4 linked regions of the Drosophila melanogaster genome follow. The protein of the gene in region 1 interacts with the protein of each later gene in a pairwise test. Each region holds a gene or a part of one and is shown on either strand. Other genes may lie near its edges. The genes, in order: CG5062, CG3323, CG11905 and CG5280.

The links.
Region 2: the proteins of CG5062 (region 1) and CG3323 interact in a two-hybrid assay, tested with the Drosophila melanogaster proteins (one large-scale study listed by BioGRID).
Region 3: the proteins of CG5062 (region 1) and CG11905 interact in a two-hybrid assay, tested with the Drosophila melanogaster proteins (one large-scale study listed by BioGRID).
Region 4: the proteins of CG5062 (region 1) and CG5280 interact in a two-hybrid assay, tested with the Drosophila melanogaster proteins (one large-scale study listed by BioGRID).

The regions. Positions count from the first base shown.
Region 1 is NC_004354.4:5,179,662-5,184,128, forward strand, and holds CG5062 (uncharacterized protein), read right to left. Parts: upstream 2,709-4,467; 5' UTR 2,520-2,708; coding exon 1,923-2,519; intron 1,859-1,922; coding exon 710-1,858; 3' UTR 521-709; downstream 1-520.
Region 2 is NC_004354.4:5,302,462-5,307,502, reverse strand, and holds CG3323 (uncharacterized protein), read left to right. Parts: upstream 1-1,811; 5' UTR 1,812-1,958; coding exon 1,959-2,172; intron 2,173-2,248; coding exon 2,249-4,284; 3' UTR 4,285-4,515; downstream 4,516-5,041. Other genes in the region: CG17764 (uncharacterized protein), read left to right, coding at 291-1,109; CG42749 (uncharacterized protein), read right to left, coding at 1,309-1,426, 1,508-1,624.
Region 3 is NT_037436.4:16,930,670-16,937,539, reverse strand, and holds CG11905 (uncharacterized protein), read left to right. Parts: upstream 1-2,003; 5' UTR 2,004-2,052; exon of another isoform or gene 2,053-2,234; 5' UTR 2,235-2,331; coding exon 2,332-2,346; intron 2,347-4,179; coding exon 4,180-4,247; intron 4,248-4,528; coding exon 4,529-6,269; 3' UTR 6,270-6,368; downstream 6,369-6,870.
Region 4 is NT_037436.4:8,988,524-8,991,823, reverse strand, and holds CG5280 (uncharacterized protein), read left to right. Parts: upstream 1-1,595; 5' UTR 1,596-1,690; coding exon 1,691-1,895; intron 1,896-2,003; coding exon 2,004-2,375; intron 2,376-2,441; coding exon 2,442-2,617; 3' UTR 2,618-2,755; downstream 2,756-3,300. Other genes in the region: CG5068 (uncharacterized protein), read right to left, coding at 3,129-3,300.

The sequences.
Region 1 (4,467 bases):
GACTTTACAGAATTGATAGCTTCGTGCGAGAAGGCGTGGCTGTGGCGCCTCTTTTGTGATTTATACTCGATTTCGCTGCGTGTTTTGCTTAGTTTTTATCCTTTATACGAATAAATGATATTCAACAAAACTGCGCGAAATCCCTAGATCATAAACTAGTTAATAATTAACCTTAAATAAAACAGTAACACCACTGCCCAAAACTGCATTTGAACCCATTGTTTTTGATTACTTGTGTGGCTAATTATTTTTGCAGCCGCAAATGCGACAGGATAAAGTTGACTTTTAGTTGCACCGAATACCGTGTGCAATCTGTGTGCATATTTAATACATGCAAAAGAGTGAGCGCAGCGATAGAAAAAACTTTGTTTGCTCTATCAGCTGCTGCTTAATGAGTGCCAGTCTATATATCCTTTTGTCTGCGGTCTGCAGTTTTAACTTGTTGAATTGACAGCAAACAAAAAAGGCGAGGAACACACGGAAAAGTTGCCACCACAGGGTGGCTAAAATACGTGCATATACATTATGTACATTTTATATGTGCTGCAAGTTTTAATTCCGCCAAGCTCGAAAAGTCATCATCTATGCCATTGTCAACTTGAGTTCATGTGTGTGTCTGTGTGTGTGTGTGTGTGTGTGTGTGGGAGTGAGTGTGTGCGCGTGTTTGATGCTGTCTGTCTATGGATGGATTTTTAGAAAATATAACTATCTAAGTGAATTCAGCGCCCAGCTTCTTTTTGTTGCCAGCATTGGCGACACGACCCTTTAGCGATTGCACCGCCAAATTGGGCAGACATCCGCGCTTTTGTAGATCATCCAGTTTGACTGTGATCACCGTATCGATTTCCTTTTGCCGCTGCGCCTCAGCTGCCCGCTCCCTTTCGAAGGCCAAGTGTTCCTCCTCCAGTTCGCGGCGACGAGCCTTCTCCCGTTCTTCGATTTGGCACGAGACACTGGAGCGCAGACAGGCCTTTTTGATGGCCTGCTCCTCGGCCTCGCGCTTCATTTGCTCCTCGTGCTTCTTTCGATACTCGATCATCTCCTTTAGTTCGCGTTCACGTTGCACATAGAAGCAGGCCTTCATTTGGCTAAGATGCTCCATTTGCTCCATATTGGCACGCTTGAGTTCGGCGGCCATTTTGCGTTCCTTTTCGGCTGCCTTACGTTCGTTTTCTCTGTACTTTCGTTCGAGGCGTTCGTGTTCCGCCAGGAAATGCATCTCCTCGCGATTATCCTTAGCATCGAGAATCTTTTGGCCGACTGCAAAGAGAACATCCCGTTTGCGTTTCTCATCCGCCGCGATGGCTTCGCGTTCCGCTCGCTGTTGTTTCAATTGCTGCTCCTTGAGCTTTAGATACTCGTAGGCCCTGTTCTCATCTCTTTGATCCTGTTCGCACATCATCCGTACGAAATTGCGATGCAATTTCGTATACTTATTCAATTCATCCCGATAGGCCAGCTTACGGCGCGATTTCATCTCGCCCTCTGCCAATTCAGCCTTTTTATACTCATCGACGGCGGCACGCAAGTCTCGCGCCTCCAATCGCAGACGATCCTGGGCCAGGAAACGTAACTTTTCGCGATCAGTGATTTGTTCACGCACTGCGTTGCCAAATTGCCGGCGCCTCTCCTCTTCGGCCTGATCTTGCTGCTCCACCGTGCCCCATTTGGCATTGTTGTAGTCGCGATTCTTGCGAGCCATCTCCTCGTCATGATCGAGTTGAATGCGATTGAGTAGCTTCCTTTCCTGTATCTGAGCCGTCCACATGGCACTGCATTTGGCCTCGGATATCGCACGCGTGGCATCCTTAACTCGCACATCTGACTCGTATTTGGCATCCAAGGCGCGGTGTAGTACCTACAATGGGTGGTGGAGATATACTTTCGGAAATATGGCTAAGAACCATAAACCAAAAAACTACCTGCAATCGTTTGGCCTCCGCACGCCGATCCTCGTTGACATCCTCATCGGCCTCGTCATCGTCCCTCTTCTGGGCCTCGCGCTCCTTCTCCCTGCGCTGCTCATCAATGTCGTGGAAATAGTTACGCATACGTTCCGCTTCGGCTGTATGATATTGCTGCTCCTCCATCCGGCGATCCTGTTCCGCGCGACGCTCCTCGGTGGTACGCGGCCTCGATGCCCGCATGCGATCCAGTTCGCACTGTGAGAGCTCCGCATAGCCCTTGGATTCCCATGATTGACCCTTGATGTGAAAGAACGTGGCCTTGGCACCGTCGTATTTTCGGGCTCGCGGTGGCGCCTTACCGCCACCCACCGCCGAACGTGTGATCTTCTGTCCAGGCACGGCTACTGGATTCGGTAGACGTGTGCCGGGCGGTAATGGTCGCCTCTGAACCTTTGGCTTTACGGGTCTATCACGGCGTACGCCACATAGTGGCTCCTCTTCGACGGTCGATAATGGTGGCGTTTCCAGATAAATCGGCTTCTTAAGTCGATCATAGCAATCCGGGTGCAGTTTCATCGCAGCTCGCGAACGACATGGCATCACCATTGGCATCTTGACGAATTCTATTCTATATGTATATCGCGTTTGAAATTGCAAATGGCCAGAGGGGTGTGGGGTAAAACGCAATAGCAGATTTCTCGCTTAGCTATTGAGTTTGTTCCTTTGTTCGGTTTGTTGGCGTGTCTGTTTGTGTTATTTGCTCGGAGGCTCTTGTTTTGTTTGCTTGTTTCGTATATTTCGTTTGTTTATCCAATCGAATCTGGCAGGTTAAATCTACATGAATTCAAAGCTTGCTGGGTATAGCATTACAATTACAGGGTATTTGCTGGGAATGTAGGCTCACAGGTACTTTTTGAATCATAGAGTTCCTTTAATAGGTCGGTTATACATTTGAGTATCCCAAAATTAAACATGCTCGTGTACGCTGCTTCTACACTTGTTCACACCTGACCACTTGAGTGTCGTTTTTTGTCGAGTGGCAGGTGAGAAGGAAAAACTAGAGGATAAGTGAAGGGGGGGGGGGGGGGGCGAGGATATATGGAAAGCTAGTTGGGGGAAAAAGGGAAAGGCTGCCGCCGCTGCTGCATTTACTTCCGCCTGCTTTGGTTGCATTCGAAGGCGTTGATGCTTGCATTTTGGAATAGCCCCGACAATTTGCATTCTTTGTATGTAAGTGCCACGCCCATGGCCCGCTTGCCCCACCGCCTACTCTCCCTTCGAAATCCAGCCACCAGGTAGGTGGCATGAAAATTTAATTACACGCCTCGCTGAAACGCAGTGCCTGAATATAGGGGTCGCTGGTTTATTTTTTTTATATATTTTTTTTGTGAAAATCTCGCTGTTGCCCGTAGATTAGGCTGGTGAGAGAAAAAAAAGGATAATGGAGGAATATATATAGTTCAACAAGCTGGCTTTTAAGCAGGGCTATAATACCGCATGTCACTTGCTGCTCGAAAGTGCTCGAAAATGATTATTTTTGCTCAAGTTATGCTTATTTTACGGTATTTTGGTATATGTATAACTTAACTAGCCGGAGTCTTTTGTGCACTCGATACTGACCAAATTCCATTTTAGTCGTCATATGACGAATGCTGGAAGAGAATTCGAAACCGAAACTCAATATCCAGCCCATAGTGTTTGTCTTGTCTATTTGTGTGGCGCTTGTGTTGTTGGGCGCACAAAGAGACATCTCCATCTACTACGCTACTCGACACCCAATACCAAATACTCGAGATTCCGATGAGATGGTGTGGTGGCCGTGGGGCAAATGGTTGCCTTCACTATGGACAACCAACAGCGACCACCTCTGACTGCATGGGTTCCGCCCGAAATACACTCCTGTTCGCCAGACATCAATAACACCGATGTTTCTCACATCGCGCTGAGCGTGAAGTTTTTGCCATAAATATGAATTATTTTTTTTTTTTGGCAAGCAGCTAAAAATCATATTACGTACTATAATATATACGACAAGGGGGGGCATCGTCTCCGTAAAACTTTTCTCACATTTCAATGGCAATAAAAGTGATTTAATAAGGCGCAAAACAACACAACAAAAGGGGCAAAAAAAAAAAAGGGGGCGTACAAATTTTTGGGCAAGGGCAGCGGGCAAGCCAGCCAGAAAAGCGAAATCAATTTGATTTGTCGCCGTAGACGACGACGACGATGGTGGGCGGTGGGACGATCCACCGACCACGCCCATTGCGTGTGATTAAGTGCGCGTTTAATGTGCACGCCATGGCCATAAAACAAATTGTATGCAATCCTGCCACCGAAAGCTTTCGCAATTTACTCCCCACACAACTCTGGAGGAGATTTACCCGGCTTCATCTGTGTGCGTGTGCGTGTGCGTGTGCAATGCTACTACAACTACTACTACAACTACTACAACAACAGCCTCCGTGGGTTTATTCCTCTTTTCTCGCAATCCTTCTTCATTTCAGAGTTCCGTAACTGATTTTGACCCGTAGTCCGTTGGGGAGGCTAAAAACTTTTACAG
Region 2 (5,041 bases), 120 kb from region 1:
ATTGAGGATGATCTATTAAAGATGTGATTGAAAGCGAGCGAAAATTGAGTAGTTAATTAGTAGTACATAGGATCCTGGTAGGTTGTGCAAAAGCTGTTCCAGTGCACGCTACCGTATTTATATTTCTGAAAACAAATTGGTAACCAAGTCAATCGACGCACATTTGAAACTCTCGAAATTCTCAGCGCTCGTTTCGGTCCGTGTTTTGTTTTGTTTTTTTTTTTTTTTTCCTTTTTGCTAGTGTTAACTAAAGATTTGCCGTATTTCGTTTTCCTGTTTGGAGTTAGACGATGTCAAAGGCGCAGCAACTGATGGCCAGGGACCAACAGGCGGCCAGGACGGAGGAGGAGGCGCGTCGCAAGCGCGCCGAGATGCGTCAAAGCTATGGTAACAAATTTTCCAGCATAAATCTGCATAGGATGCGCCAGAAGCAGACGACCAATGCCGGCGATGTCATCGCCACCAAAGCAACCACAATGGATGCTGCCTACAGCAAGAAGGCGCCGGTGGAAACCAATGCCGATGCGCCGGCAATGCCGACGAAAAAGGAAAAGGATGACCCCTCACTGCGTCGCATCGCTTCCAGTTTTGCGCACGTGCGGGATTTAGTTAGCGGCAGCACCGACGCCCTGCCCCTGGAGGATAGCGAGGATGATGCTCGCGAGGAGCGCGCCGAGGTGCTCATCTTCAGTCAGACAATGCCGCCACCCGATGAGCTGTCCGTTGACTTGCCATCTCCTGGCAAATCTGAGCCGGAAACGGAGCCCGACCTCCAGTCCCAATCTCAGTTCAATCTGGAATCTGAACAGCAACCTCAACCGGAAACCAACAGCACAGACATTGCTGCTGCTGCTGCTGCTGCACAGATCGCTGAATTGTCGGCATCAGTGATGTCGTCCAAAGTAATGCTCGATGCGCCGCACACCGAATCCCGGGCCTTCGAACGCTGGCAGCAGCTGGGCAGCACGGTATCGGCACTTTTCCGTGCCCGGCGGAACATCGACATCGCTGAGTCGCCGATGGCGCAGACTCGACGATTGCGCGAACAGCGCGAGCTGCTCGAGGCATTCACCCGACCCTTTCTGTACGACGCGTACAGGAGGGAGTAAGTAAGGCTTGCGGTGACGCCTGAGAACTGAAACGGAAAGCCCAACAAACGGAGGCACCCCCCCTTGCCAAGCCATTGAAATTCAAACAATTTAGAGCAGTGTCTTCGATTAAATTCAATTCATTAGATCTCGCATATCGCATCTCGCATCCTCCGCATGGGCAATGGGTGGGCAGCACAGCTGTGGCTCGCAATCCGGTTTAGTAGCAGCGGCATCTGTCCGGCGGACACTCCGATTCATAGTTGAGACACTTGTCCATGCAGTAGGTGTCGGCACCATCCTGTCCAGCATACTCGCCAATGGCCACGCACTCCTGACTGTGCAATTGATATGGGTTTAGATTCGAACTTGCTATGTATGTATCTCGTTAGATACATATTATTCATGTGCATACTTACGGACATTGGCAGGCGTCCTCCGGACAATTGGGCGGATAGCGCAGGCAATTGATCTCGCACCAGTTGTCGATGCCCGGCAAGGCACGGAATGCTGGGGCGCCAATGCACTTTTGGTCACTAAAAGAAATCAATAGCATAGCCACATAACAAGAAGAATTCCATGATGCTAAAAAAAAAACTACTAGGATCAACTAGATGGCTTTGGAAATGGCATCGCAGCAGTCCTTGAACACCCGGCGTTCGGCTGTCAAGTTCGATTTCGATTTTAGTCCCAGCTGTTCGTTTCACTCAGTCAGTCGACTAGAACAGTGCTCCCACTCCCAATATTTATTTTATAAGCTCGACATTACAATAAATCGAACACAAAACGAAGGTCACATATTATATATATATATATATATATATATATATAGCAGATGTCGCAATAGATCGCTGTAGCGGAGCAACCAACATGAATCGCAATCGAATCAATCAGATACGCCAGTTAGATCGCGGCCAGGAGGGACTGCCGCAAGTCATCCAAATGCAGGGACAGGCACAGGTTCAGCTGGGCGGCGACCAGGGTAATCACGTCGGCAACGAGGGACAAGCGACGGGCAATCAGAATGTCCGCCGCAAGATGACCTACACCAGAACGGAGATGCTGTCGCGTGGCCTGCCCACCGGTAAGTTTCGTCCAACCAAAGATCTCAGATTTTTTTTTCTTATTTTGTTTTCTTTTTTTTTTTTTTTTTTGTTCAGTTAACAACAGCAATCGTTCGGCTCGAAACTGCAACACAGCTGGACAGGATTGGACCAGTCAATTGTCGCCCAGACATCGTTACGCACAACCACCAAAGTCCGGAATACCGGTCCCTCCGTTGTTCCTAAGCAGCACCCATGCAAGCACCAATAAGAATGTCACCACTGCCAGTCGTCAGCGTAGTTTCCTGCCCCGAGTGGCCAAATTGCCAAACAGAGCGGACAAATCGCCGAGGAAGAATCAATATCGCGAAGCTCTGACCACTGAGGTCACGGTGGAGCAATCTCAGACGTTGCCATTGGGCAATCACAAGGCTAAACATTTGGTGAATACACCACATGACAGCGAGAGCAGCATTCTGCAGGACGGCAGTGATGATAAGCTAATAAGCGACAGCGGCAGCTCAATGGATCACGACAAGATCAAATTGGCCAAGGCCATACGCCTGCCGGATGAGGGGAACAAGAGTTTCGTCTATGTATGCAAGCCGGTGAAGAAGGTCAAAGCTCTGTTGACTGCCAGAAAATTGCGCGCTAGCAGCGAGCACTTGAATGGCCCAAAGGATGGTGAGTTTAGCTTGCAGGAACAGGAGACATTCAAGCTGCAGAGGACCATTTCCGAGGAGGCTCTATGCAGCCGTGGCGCCGGCGAGGGATACACACTCTCGCCCGTCGAGGGACTGGCACAGAGCACATCGACCACCTCCAGCCAGTTGGATAGTCCCACATTGGCGGCCATGCTGCAGCGCCAGCAGCAATTCGAGTCGAAGGCGGTTGGCAGTCAGGACCGTTTGAGGTTGCAATTGGAGGAGGTGTGCCACAGGCACAATAATCAGCGCCAGCTGGAAAAGGATCAGTACGAGAAGGAGCAGCGCCAATTGGAATTGGATCAGGTGTCAAAGAAACTGCCCGTGCTGCAGCATGAGATACATATGCTGCATAAGGTGAGCGAAAAACTGGAGGCGACACTAAGGGCCACCAATATACCCAAGCCGAGAAGCAACGTAATCATTACGGATATAAGCCGGCAATCATCTGGACGTTTCTACACACCGCGCACCAGTCCCAATCAATTGGACGAGCTGCCCATTAGGAAATTGTGTTGTTTGCGCTTGGAATATATACCAGCTATTGAGATGCGGGCACGCATCATTGGCACCGTTTGCCATGTGGGCTTTGTCCAAGAGTTTCGCATCGAGACCAAAACACTTAACGAGCTAAAGACGGCGGATGAGTCGCAATGCTTCTATTTACCGGCACCCAAAGAGGAACCGCCATTGGTCCAGCTCAACGAGGATGATCCATTGCAGTGCACCAACTTTCGTCAGTTGCGTAAGAATCCGAATATGCTGTTTCAGCAACTGCGAAAAGTGCCCGGCGCTGGGGGATCCTTTAATCTTTTGGATCAGGACACAATGTTCTTCAATAGTCTGGCCTATGCGGATTCAAAAATCATGGATGCTAACACCGTCGAACAGCTTGAGGTGGCCACACGCGAGGCGGGTGGCGGTGGAGCAACTATGGCCCATTATGGCGGAGCCATTGCCTATTCACGCCTCTCGGTGCGTCTCAACGAAGTGGGCGTGGATGATGCTGCTGCTGCTGCTGCTCCTCCTACTCCTGCAGTGAAATCAGAGGAGCAGGGCGATCGTCTAACTGAATGTCCTTGTCAGGTGAACAATACCACTCAAACGGACGTGGAATTGTCCAAGTTGGAGAAAATTCGAGAAGCGGAAGAGGAAATTAGTTCACCAGACTTTACACCCAATCCCAGTCCCAGGACAAGGAAGCGAATGAAAGTGGAGGAGCCGAACGGCAAAGTGCAAGAGGAAGACGCGTTGGAATCCAATCTCGATTCGCGACCAAAGAAGACCAGGAAAGTAATAACTCGTAGAGCGCCCGATCCACCCGTTCGTTGTGACGTGGAGCCCAAGGTGCGTTTGAAGTTGCTCAAAACCGTATTGGTGGGAATGGTCCAGATCGCTGTTATATTAGTTCTCATCATGGCCATCGGATCTCCGGATATTATCTGCTAAGCTACACAACCATCGAAATATTGCCAAGATGCCATAGAAAAAGAAGCAGTGAATGCAAAAGTAGGAGAGAGAAAAACTGTAGCGGGAAATGTGGCGATAATAGCAAGTAGCGGGAAAAGCACCGATAACCGGATTCGGTGTTTGATTTCACATTATTTTTCGAATTTATTGTTTTCTTACTCGGGCCCAAGCGAAGCCACGTCAAAGTTAATAAAATTTCATGTGTATTGCAAACCGTTAGCATCTAAAGCATTTCGATTCCCATTCGAATCTGTATCGGTTAAGCGAAGCGGTTAAGCGAAACAATATAAAAAGCATTTCTATAGGTTTTAAGTTTATTCAAGCATTTCTTTATGTACAGCAGTGCCTGTGCGTGTGTGTACCATAACCGTTTAAAATCTTAAATGTAGGCGGTGGAGAAATTTACCTTTACCCGTTACTCGTTTGAACTCTGACCCGATTCGGGCGGGATTCCATCCGAACGCGGGTGCATAGCTGTTTCGACTAGGGCTAGAAAAACGTAATCAAATCGGTTTGCGATCGGGTAGCGGGTAAGCGGGTAAGCGGTTTTAAGCAGGTATCGGGTAAGCTGTTTAACGGCCAGGCGGCTTAGCCTTGCCTTGTTTGCGTGCATGCCGCGTGGCATTGCTAGAAACCAAAGCAAGAGTTAAAATCGTGTTCGCAGAGCTGAACAAAGAACACATATTCTGTTAGAGGAAGAACAGCGAGGAGAGATGGTTCAATAAAGCGGAAACGG
Region 3 (6,870 bases), on another chromosome or scaffold:
GGGACCAAAATAATACAGCATTTGAAATGTTCGACGCGTGCGCGCACTTGCCAAATAATTTGAATCGAACGGAAAGCCTTGGCGTCCACGGCGTGGCCTAAATAAAATATATTTCTGGCCGCGCGAAGCCAAGAAAAGCCCATAAGCAATAATAATATGCATATTTGCTAAAACAAAAAGTTATTACATGGGCCAGTTTTGACCGAAAGTTTCACTGCCACAATTAAGTTTTAATGTCAAGAGATCTAAGCGAGTGATTTCCCTGAAACAAGTTCCTACGCACTCGAAAACTTTCTTCGCCGAATGCACTAAAAGAACGTACAGAAGAGCACTAAAAAGCTTGCCATAGCTTGACATAGATTCTATTCGGCCGGGTCTAGGGTTTGTATGGCTGAAATGGCCACGTTCTCAGCGTAGAAATCAATGGCTCACCTGGGAAGTAGCCGAGGTGCATAATTGGGTTAGCGTAGCAGCAGAACGGCCTGCATTGAAACCACAAATTACTGGGGCTCCGGCTCTCCCAGGTGCCAGTTAGCTGTTTCTGTTTATTTTCCCCCTCATAAACAACGGTTTGGGCTGGGATTCTCCTCCTCGCCGAAGGTCAGACTTAATTGGCCCGGGCCTAGGCAACGACATCCCACTAGCAGTCCCGTTTCGCCTGCATTTATAAATAGGCCCCAAGGTCTCTGGGTCTTGGGTCTTCGGTCTTCGGTCTTCGGTCTTCAACTTCTCGACTCGCTCTTCGGCTGCTTGGATTTCAGTTGGGGTTCGATTTATCGCCTTTTGATTGCTGCATTCCAATTGTGGATCAAGTGGTGCGTGTGGCGCATTCGGGGCTTACAACGTGTTGCTGCTAATTTCGTATGCTCCCTTCGGCTCTGCGCACTCGAAACCATAAATCTTGTGGCAATTTTATTGATGCCTGCGTGTGCCACAAAGGTCGACCCCCCGTTCGATGCTGCTTAATCAAGGAATATGCATTATTTCACAGCGCAGTCAGTAGCTGGCTGCTCGGGGCATAAAAGCCAATAAAAGAATAAATTGCAGTTGTATCACAGCAAAGTTAATCACAAAATTAATGGTTCTGGGCTAATAAAGACTGGTCTGCAATGAAAACAAATGACTTAAGGCACGAACCTGAAATCAATTTCTCTGATTTCAGACATTTGTTATTCATGATTATCGATCAAAAACGGTCCGAAGCTAAGTCTTAATCCTGACATCTGTTGATACCCGAGAAGTGTGTGAAGTCTTCACGCCGAAGTGCTTGTCAAATCAAAAAAAAAAAAAAAGAACATGACTCTTGAGTCACTATGTGCGAAACTTTCTAACGAGTTCCAGGCAAACATTTTAATTGAATTGCCCGGCAACGAATCGATTCTTTCATCACGGTAAGTCTCTTACCATTTTGGCTTATGTCATGTTCTGGGCCCGTTCCGAGCTGATTACCTTTCCACTTCCCACACGCATTTCGCTTCTATTCTCGTGGCTCACTCCACTTGTAATGGCCAGTCACTTCGCTCCTGTCCAGTCACACTCAATCAAGCCAATAAACGGCCAATTAATCAAAGTCAGCGCTGTGATTCTGTGTTCTTGCTAGGTGCGAGTTTGCGAAACAGTAGACTGAAGAAGCGACTGTCAGCACATTTAATCAAATGCTTGAGAAATATCTGACAATATGTTAGGCAAACTATTTGCCTAACCCAAGGGATCGGGGAAGATTTCGATCTGCGAAATCCTAGAGTTGTAAGCCTGCATATCAATTGGTGTTGTGTACCCTGGAGCTGGTAACCAAATCCCACAGATCCACGCCCCCAGATAAAAGCCAGGCCAAGGCGCTCGACTACGTGCCCGAATCGCGGTCTTCTCTTCGACTCTCTCTTCTGCCCAAAACCCAGTTCTCTTACACCTGATCGGGCCCTGTTTTCTTGGCCATTTCTTTCGCTTCGTCGTTTGCATCGCTAATGGAAATGTTATAAACAGACGCGCTGGGCCCGGCCAGCACTCAGTTCATCTTCAGACGTCGCCTGGCTCGCTGGCTCTTGGTTCTTGGTAGGAGTTCCATTTCCAGACCCTATTTATTGTGCGTGACAAAAAAAAAGAAAGAAAAACAACGGAACCTGAAACAATCGTAAATTGAAAGCTCAGCAGGATTGGTTTTATAGTGCTTTTAGTGTGTGTGATTTTGCCGCGTGATAACCCAGAGTGCCACTCATTCCCGTTCTCGTTTGCAGTTCAAGGATATATTGTCAAGGCGAGGATTGGTCAACGCCACGAACACCAAGCATTTATTGAAAAATCTGAAACTATTCACCAGAACCTCGCGTTAAAATGCGCTTTCTTGTTGTAAGTCAAATCGCATAAAAAAGAAAATTAAATACCATGAATGACTTAACTTCACATTTTGGGAATACAAAACGAAACTAGTTTATACCTGACCGCAATTAATCATTTATTGCTCTGTGCTGCCGCTGAACTCATTAACTCGTCAACTGGCCCAAGTTCGTGCCTTAAGTCTTTTGTTTCTTTCACTTCTGAATCGACACTAACTTTCACTAAGCGACTTTTTTGATTCTTGGCTTGGTTCTTTCCTTTTTTTGATCGCCTTAATTAGCCTTAATTATGCTCTGTGCCATATGCAAATATTAATAAGAGTGCCTAAAATCTTTTTGGGGTTTATAATAATCACAAATCAATTTGGACGCAAAGAACTATATTGGGGAAACTTTTTTTTATATGAATGCAAAAGGTTAAGACTTCTTTGTGCCAGTTATTGTTCACTTAGTAAAGGTTTTTCAAAAGAGTTAATTCTTTCTGAAAAGTGAAACCCTTTTGTCCATTCCATTTGAACGTGACAATATTCTAGCCCCACCCCAATTTAAAAAGTGAGAATTAATCATTCATACCTAGGAAGTATTGTTCCTTGCATTATTCATATTCCCATTATGAAAAGCATGCCCTTAAAAGTCAAAACTCTACAGCGACTCCCATAAGCAACAATGCCATTCAATTATAACCACAACCAATACAACCACTTGGGTTGAAAAGCCCAAAAAATAATTATGACTCAAAGAACATAAAATTAATATGCCGCAAACGTATAAAAATCATGCGTGGGCTAACAAATGGTAATATAAGTCTTCTTTTCCCCCTCCCAACTATCAAACAATCGGTCACATTTGTGTGGGGTTCTTAACTATAAGTGCACTGGTTTGTTTTCGAGTTTGTGATCGTTTCGATAGTGGTTCATAAATTAATCAATTTATGAGTGTAGACAGTTAGCCACACGTCCCAAGTCCATCAATCCCTGCTCAATTAGCTGCATTGGAATGGCTCTGGAATATCATTTAAGACCAAAAGACACCTGATCGGATGTGAAGATCAGGAGACAGACTCATTTATAACTTGTTTGAGAACATAAAATGCTGCGCTTAAACTTTGCATTCGAGCCATTAACCCAGTTTATTTTTGGACAAGACACACCTGATATGGGGTCGAATCGGCATCGTTATGTGAGGGCAATATAATAAATAAGGCGAAATACACAAAAGAAAGCAGACAGAAATACATCTTACTGCTTGGGGATGCAAGAGTTCTTGCAAATCAATGGCAACCAGGTTCGACAGCCTCTGCGCCAGAATCTCTTCTCTCGAGTTACGTTTCGGCACCGAAATCGTAACAGCCGCCTAGAGGTTCAGGTCAATGACACAACACGAGCCTCGACTTCGAATCCAGCTTTGGTTTTGGCTTTTGGTCTCAGTTCCTCTCGGCTTTGTGACATTTCGGCGCTGATAGATAGGCGTGCGGGCTGGTCGTTTCCACCGGCTAACGGTTGCGTCAATATTGACTTTGCCAAAGATGTGGAGAGCCGGCGAGAGTGAGTCAAATATTTGCCGATCGTGAGGTTCTTGACAATCGTATTCGAGGGAAAATCCGTCAAGTACATAAGCCGTTCCTTGCCACCTGGCTCTCACTTTTCGGCGTAGCTTTCAGCAGCGAAAGAAATTATGCAAATGTGCTGGAGGAGCAGGGAGAGAGAGACTTTCGCGACTTTCGGGACTTGACCGCATTCCACACGTGTGAATTTTGTATCCATTACGACATCAGAATACAGACACCCTATCTAACCGGCATAAATCATAGATCTCATTCATCTATTGTCACACATTTGTCTTTCAGCTCTCAACACTGCTTCTGGCCTCTTTGGCACTTGGCCAGGCTCAACAGCACGGTGGACTGGCCGTCGAGTAAGTAGACTAGTAGCTAGTTACCCAGCCCTAAGACCCCAAATAACCATGAAATGCCTTGCCTGCCAAATGTGACTGTGTCAACGCTAATGCTCATTCCAAGTAGAAGTTGATGCGCTTGCCTAGAACTATGTGACTAAACCGAAAAAAGCCCAGACTTGTGACTAACCCTCAAAACTCATTTCCCTCCACCCAACAACACATTACCCTGCATTAGCAACTAGAAGCTAACTCCACCAACAGATAGAGACCACCAAACAAACCCCACCTTTCGTTTGCAGAATTCAGAAGCAGCGGCTGGTCAAATTTCCCGAGGACTTTGAGCCCAATGCGGCCACTCCGTCCTCGGAAAAGGCGGACGAGGCCAAGCGCATCCTCGAGCAGATAGCCAAGGTTAACGAGGCCTTTGGCTACGTGAAGAAGCAGCCGGAGCAGCCCAAGCTGCCACCGATCCTTGATTCCAGTCAATACCTGTTCCCCAAGCCCGCCCATCAGCCATTTCACGCCCATCAGCACCACTTCTCGGGAAGTAATGGTCAGACCTTGTTAGAACCCTCAATTAGGGCGGTGAAACTCACAAGAAATGTGGCGGGCAGTTACAATGTGCCTCCCAGGTTGCGCCAGGCAATTGAGAGCACCTCCAAGGAGGAGAAGAAAGCGCAACTCTACTTCCGACCCAAACAGGTGGAGGTACCGAAGCCGAGTTCCGAACAAGAAGCACAGCAGCTGCCCGCCCACTTTGTGGTGCCCGTGCACCTGTACAAACTCAATAAGGAGGAGTATCTCAAGGAGCACGCCTCGCAGGAATACAAGATAAAGGGATACAAAATCATTGGCGATGTGGACAGCTTCTATGGCAAGGCGAAGGCTGGAAGAAAACAGGGCAAGACGACGCCCAAGTATCACCTGTTCTTCCTGCCCCGAGAACTGGCTCTCAATGAAGATGGCACCCCAAAAAGGGGTAATTCCACCACCATTGGTACGACCACCACAAAGGCTCCAGTGCCTGTGAACTTCAAGGAATATCGTTTGGACTCCCGCGAGAAGCCCGTGCATAAGCCACAGAAGATTCAGCCCACTTCGTCACCGGAATTAAATTCTTTGAACAGAAAGAAGGTTGGTTCCACAGCGAAACCCGTTCGCTTGAGTGGAAAGGATGCTGAACAGCAAATCTACCAGGGATCCACATCCCTTAATATCAAGGCTACATCTGCGCCTGTCCTGTTGAGTTCTACTTTACCACCATCTGGTGGCTTGCTGCCCAATCGGAATCGCTTAAGTCCATTCCGCATGCCCGGAATGAATATAGCTGAGATGCAGAATCAGACCTCGACTGCCATCAAGAATGCCTTTCAAAACATTTTCAAGCTCCCCTTCCGACCTCCAATGGCGGCCACAGCTGGAGAAGGTCCTGTGGTTGTTGGCAATGTTCCTGTGAAGAATCACTCAATCGATTCGATGGATTATAAATGGGAGGATGAAAACGAGGGCGCCGGCGATGGGATGGCCGATGATGTGGATACCATTGAGAACACAGCCGCGGAACTGGACAACAGTGCCTCCTCAGAGAAGCACTTGTTTGCTCACAAGGGCCATCACCTGATGCACACTGTGAGCCAGGTGGCCACCGCTCAGGAAAGCACCCAAAAGCAGGCATTGCGCGAAGGAGGAATCATCATTCAGCGGCTAAAGGTTCGCAGGGGCGGCATCGCTATCGCAGGACCCGGGGGCGTGGCCACGGCGGGCAGCGGAGGAACGGCGATTGTTGGTCCCGGTGGCTATGCTCTCACCCATCCACGGAGTCTCACCATCGCCGGTCCCGGGGCCAAGGTGATCTCCATACCGGCAGATGTGGACCTTAAAGATGCCCTGGCACGCACCGATCTGGAGACGAGAAGTTTTCCGCGAGAGGGAAAGATAGTGGCTACAGGACCAACGGTCTACTATGCTCCACCCACGGGCACAACAACCATGGAGGCGGATCAGGGGGCGGGGCTGGAGACGGGCCAGTTCGAGTCCTAATCCAGTTCGAGGCTTAAACCTAATAGCTATTATTTAGCACATTTAGTTAGGATCCATAGTTGGTATTGTCTAGTGTTCTAATAAATATTTGTATTTCGTAATTGTTTGGGCTTTTGCTTTCATCTTGTACATAGTAGTTTTAGATATCACACTTATTCCGCATGATATTAACCCGACACAGTTTAACCCCTCGAATTATTGCTGTAAATAATATACGACTAACCGGCGGTTCTCTTCACCATTTTCCTCTATCCCACTCTTCCTAAACCAAAAACTATCCTAACTCAAGTGCCTACTGGCGCACAACCAATATCGAGGCCTGGCCACCAGGAGCACCCGTCGCAGAGAAGTCCGGAAAACTCATTGCAGGATCTGCTCCGGCCCAGGACCTCACGCCCTATGGAGCCTATCAACCCGTGCTGTTCAGTGCCCCATACTACGCCGCCTACAATCTGCCCCTGGCCTATGTGGTGCAACCCACCATCGCCAGTGCCGATCAAGCCACCATAGCCAGTGCAACAACCACAACGACCACTACCACAACTGGCCGACCCGAAAGCTTAGCTGATGACAGCTCCAGCGAGTTGGAGAAACCAGAAAA
Region 4 (3,300 bases), on another chromosome or scaffold:
TAAGTTTATTAACTGTATGCCAAGGCGCCCCCAAAGATATGATCAATTGACTCGGGCTCGCAGGACCAACGGCTGGCCGATGAACTTGTGGAGCCCATGCTGCACTCCCCGACGGTAATCCCATGTCGGTTGTCAGCGGGGGCGTGGCATCTTACTGTCAATGTTATTAATGTATAGGTTTCGTAAATGTTGTCGCCATTTATGTAGTTAAACTAACAAGCCAAGCCCCACAACACACACACACACAGATCGCAACAACAGAATACAGTAACTTCTCTCTACCTAGGAAAATTTGGCCAAATTTGATCAACATTTTACGCTATTCTAAACCCCAATCACAACATCAACTATTTCATTCACTATCAACAACGTCGCCAAATGAAAGAAATACCCCGATCTGAACGACGACGAAAAATGGTTTATCTAGTAAAAAATTATAAAATGAACTCTGCATCGTGACCATGAGACTGACTAAGATTACTTTTCGCAACTATAAAAACTAGAAGGAAGAAAGCTGGATGGAGAGGGAATTGAAAAGTGAGAATTGAGAAACGAGAGCTGATAATTGTTTGCGCGAATCAAAACTAGGCTTGCTGAATGAAGTAGTAGTCACATAATGAATATGTTTATATATACACGTACACATAATTTATTTTAAATTAAAAGGAACATATTTGCTGAACCGTAACTGCACCAGAGGAAATCGCAACGGCGGAAACTACCACTAGACTAAACTTTAACAGAAAAGAGTTTCAATGTTTCACTGTTTGTGTTTGAGAATCGGAACCACATATTGTATTTTGCATATTTAAGCGTAAGCCAAATCCATGTATTGCATACCGATCATGATCACCATTGTCATTGATTAGATTATCTCTACTATTACTATTATGTTTGCTTTAGTCAATTGTTTATAATGTAAATGGCAAGCCAATCACTCGATATGTTATGTTTTAGTTGTTTTTTTAAAAATTATATATATTTATATATACAAATGTATGTCGCTAAGCTTAGGTTCAAACAAAAAACGACGATGGGCCAAGCTGGAAAAAAGAAGGCAGCCAAAAAATATTTACCTTAAGAGCGTAAAAACGTGTAGTCTAATTGTAAATGTATAAAAACGAACAAATGCATGTGTAAAAATCTTGGTTGGAAATGTTTTTGTTTTCTAATTTCTCGTCGATATTTCCAAGATTTGTTTGTTTACAACAACCGCAACACTGTAAATCGCAGATGCTTTTATTTAATAATAAAAACCTATTGTACGGCCAGTTGGGATACAAAGATAATCGAAACCTAATTGTCAAACTTTAGCGAGTTCAAAACGATCCACAAACTAAATGGTTTATTGTAAAAGTGCAACTACTCGTAGACGAATGTGCATAAGTCAGTTAAATGTTCGCAAAATTATCATAATGCGAGCATAAACCAAGCGTGTACCTACCCACACATATACACACATACAATACCTACATATATTTATTTTCAATAAATTATTTCGAGATTTAAAAATACCCATGCTGTTTACCTAACAACCCAGGTTGCCATGCGTCTCCACTTTTGTTGTCCGGCGAAAAACAACTTCATACCGAGGCTAGCCTTCAAACACACCAAACGAAATTATCGAAGCGATTTTCTATAGTATATACAAGCCTTACTTTTCCGGAGCAAAAATTATTAGCTTTACAGAATGAGCCGACATCGCTTCAACAACGTGCAGATCAAGGCATTGCCCGGTGGTCTGATGGCCCACCACGAACCGGATGCGGATGGCGGACAGCCCGGTTCGCAGAAGCTGCCCATGTGGCCCAGTGAACGCATTCCTCCTGGCGGTGCTGGAGCCTTCCACTCGGCCAAGGTGCAATATAGCAAGGAGACAGCTGATCTGATCCGATGTAAGTGCGTTTTGGGCATGCCAAATATCTAAGGAATAAGAGGATAAGAGGACCATCCATAAAGATAATCGTGTACATTTTCCGCTTCGTTATAACCTCCCTTGTTAGTGCTTGTCAAGGAGTCCAAGATGTCGATGTTGGTACGCAAGCAGATCGATGAGAGCCTGCGCAATGGGGAGCCATTGCCATTGCCCGAACCGCCGCGTCCCAATACCAACAACGATCCGGACAAGGAAACACTGGCCATTTTGGATCGGGCACGCAATGCCAAGCGTAAGAATCTGCGGCAGATCGAGGCGAGCGGAGCTTACAAGCAGAGCTATTACCGCCCGCCCGCCGACAACCGAATGCATGGAGAGAAGGCCAAGTCGCAGCTGCAGTTCACCATGGCCGGCACTCATTTGCCCGATCCGGCGATCAAGCCGCGACGTCGTCCTCGCGAAGAGCAACTGGTGACGGAGGAGGATCTCATAAACGAGCGTAAGTTGGAATATTTCTTAAGCGGAATAAAGCGGAATTATACATTGAGTTGGCATGCTCCTACAGTTTTGGACCAAATCAACGAGCGTGCTGAGTGGTTGACGGAAATGGAGTCCATGGGCCAGGGTAAGAAGTATCGTCCAGAGATTCGAGATCAGATTGCCGAACGTCTGCGTCGCATTCAGGCGCTGGAGTCCAAGATGAAGATGAAGTCCAATGGCGGCTTCCGTTTCGTGGACTAAATGTGTTATCCTGTTTTTAAAGTTTCATGATTTCATGATTGAGACGACGAGTAAACCAAATAAATAAATTCCAAGATTCATTTGAATTTAATGGGAATTTATGGTAACACTCGATTAATAAATAGCTTTATTCAACTTATTCGCATTCGTATAATTTGGATTTCGTTAAATTTTCATTTGATCTGGCACATATTTAATACACACTCATTATAACAATGCAAGAAGCCCAAACGCAAGCACTTTAGACCTTAGATTTTTGGCAAAATGAGTATAAAGTACAATGTTGAAAATTCAAGTGGTTTAATTAAAAGTACCGAATAAATTACTGGATTATTAGTTTATGTGTATATAGAATATACGGCTGTATATATCTGGACCTACGCACTACATTTTGTATATATATATATATATGCACGCATCTGTAAGTTCAAAGAGTAATGCACCTCCATTCAAAAATAGACTTTTGTGACCTCAGTTTGTGCTCAACCTCGGATTCAGGGGGTGGTTGTGTTTAGCACGACGGCATGTGGCAACGAAATTCGCTGGCTGCTTCTGCAAACCGATTCCGGATCAAGTAGCCGCTAATCACCTCAGCCACCTCGTGTGGACGGTCCTCGTGCACGGCGTGACCGCAGCGGGCCAAGACCTGCATCTGGAAGCGACCCTGCATCTGGCCAACAGTC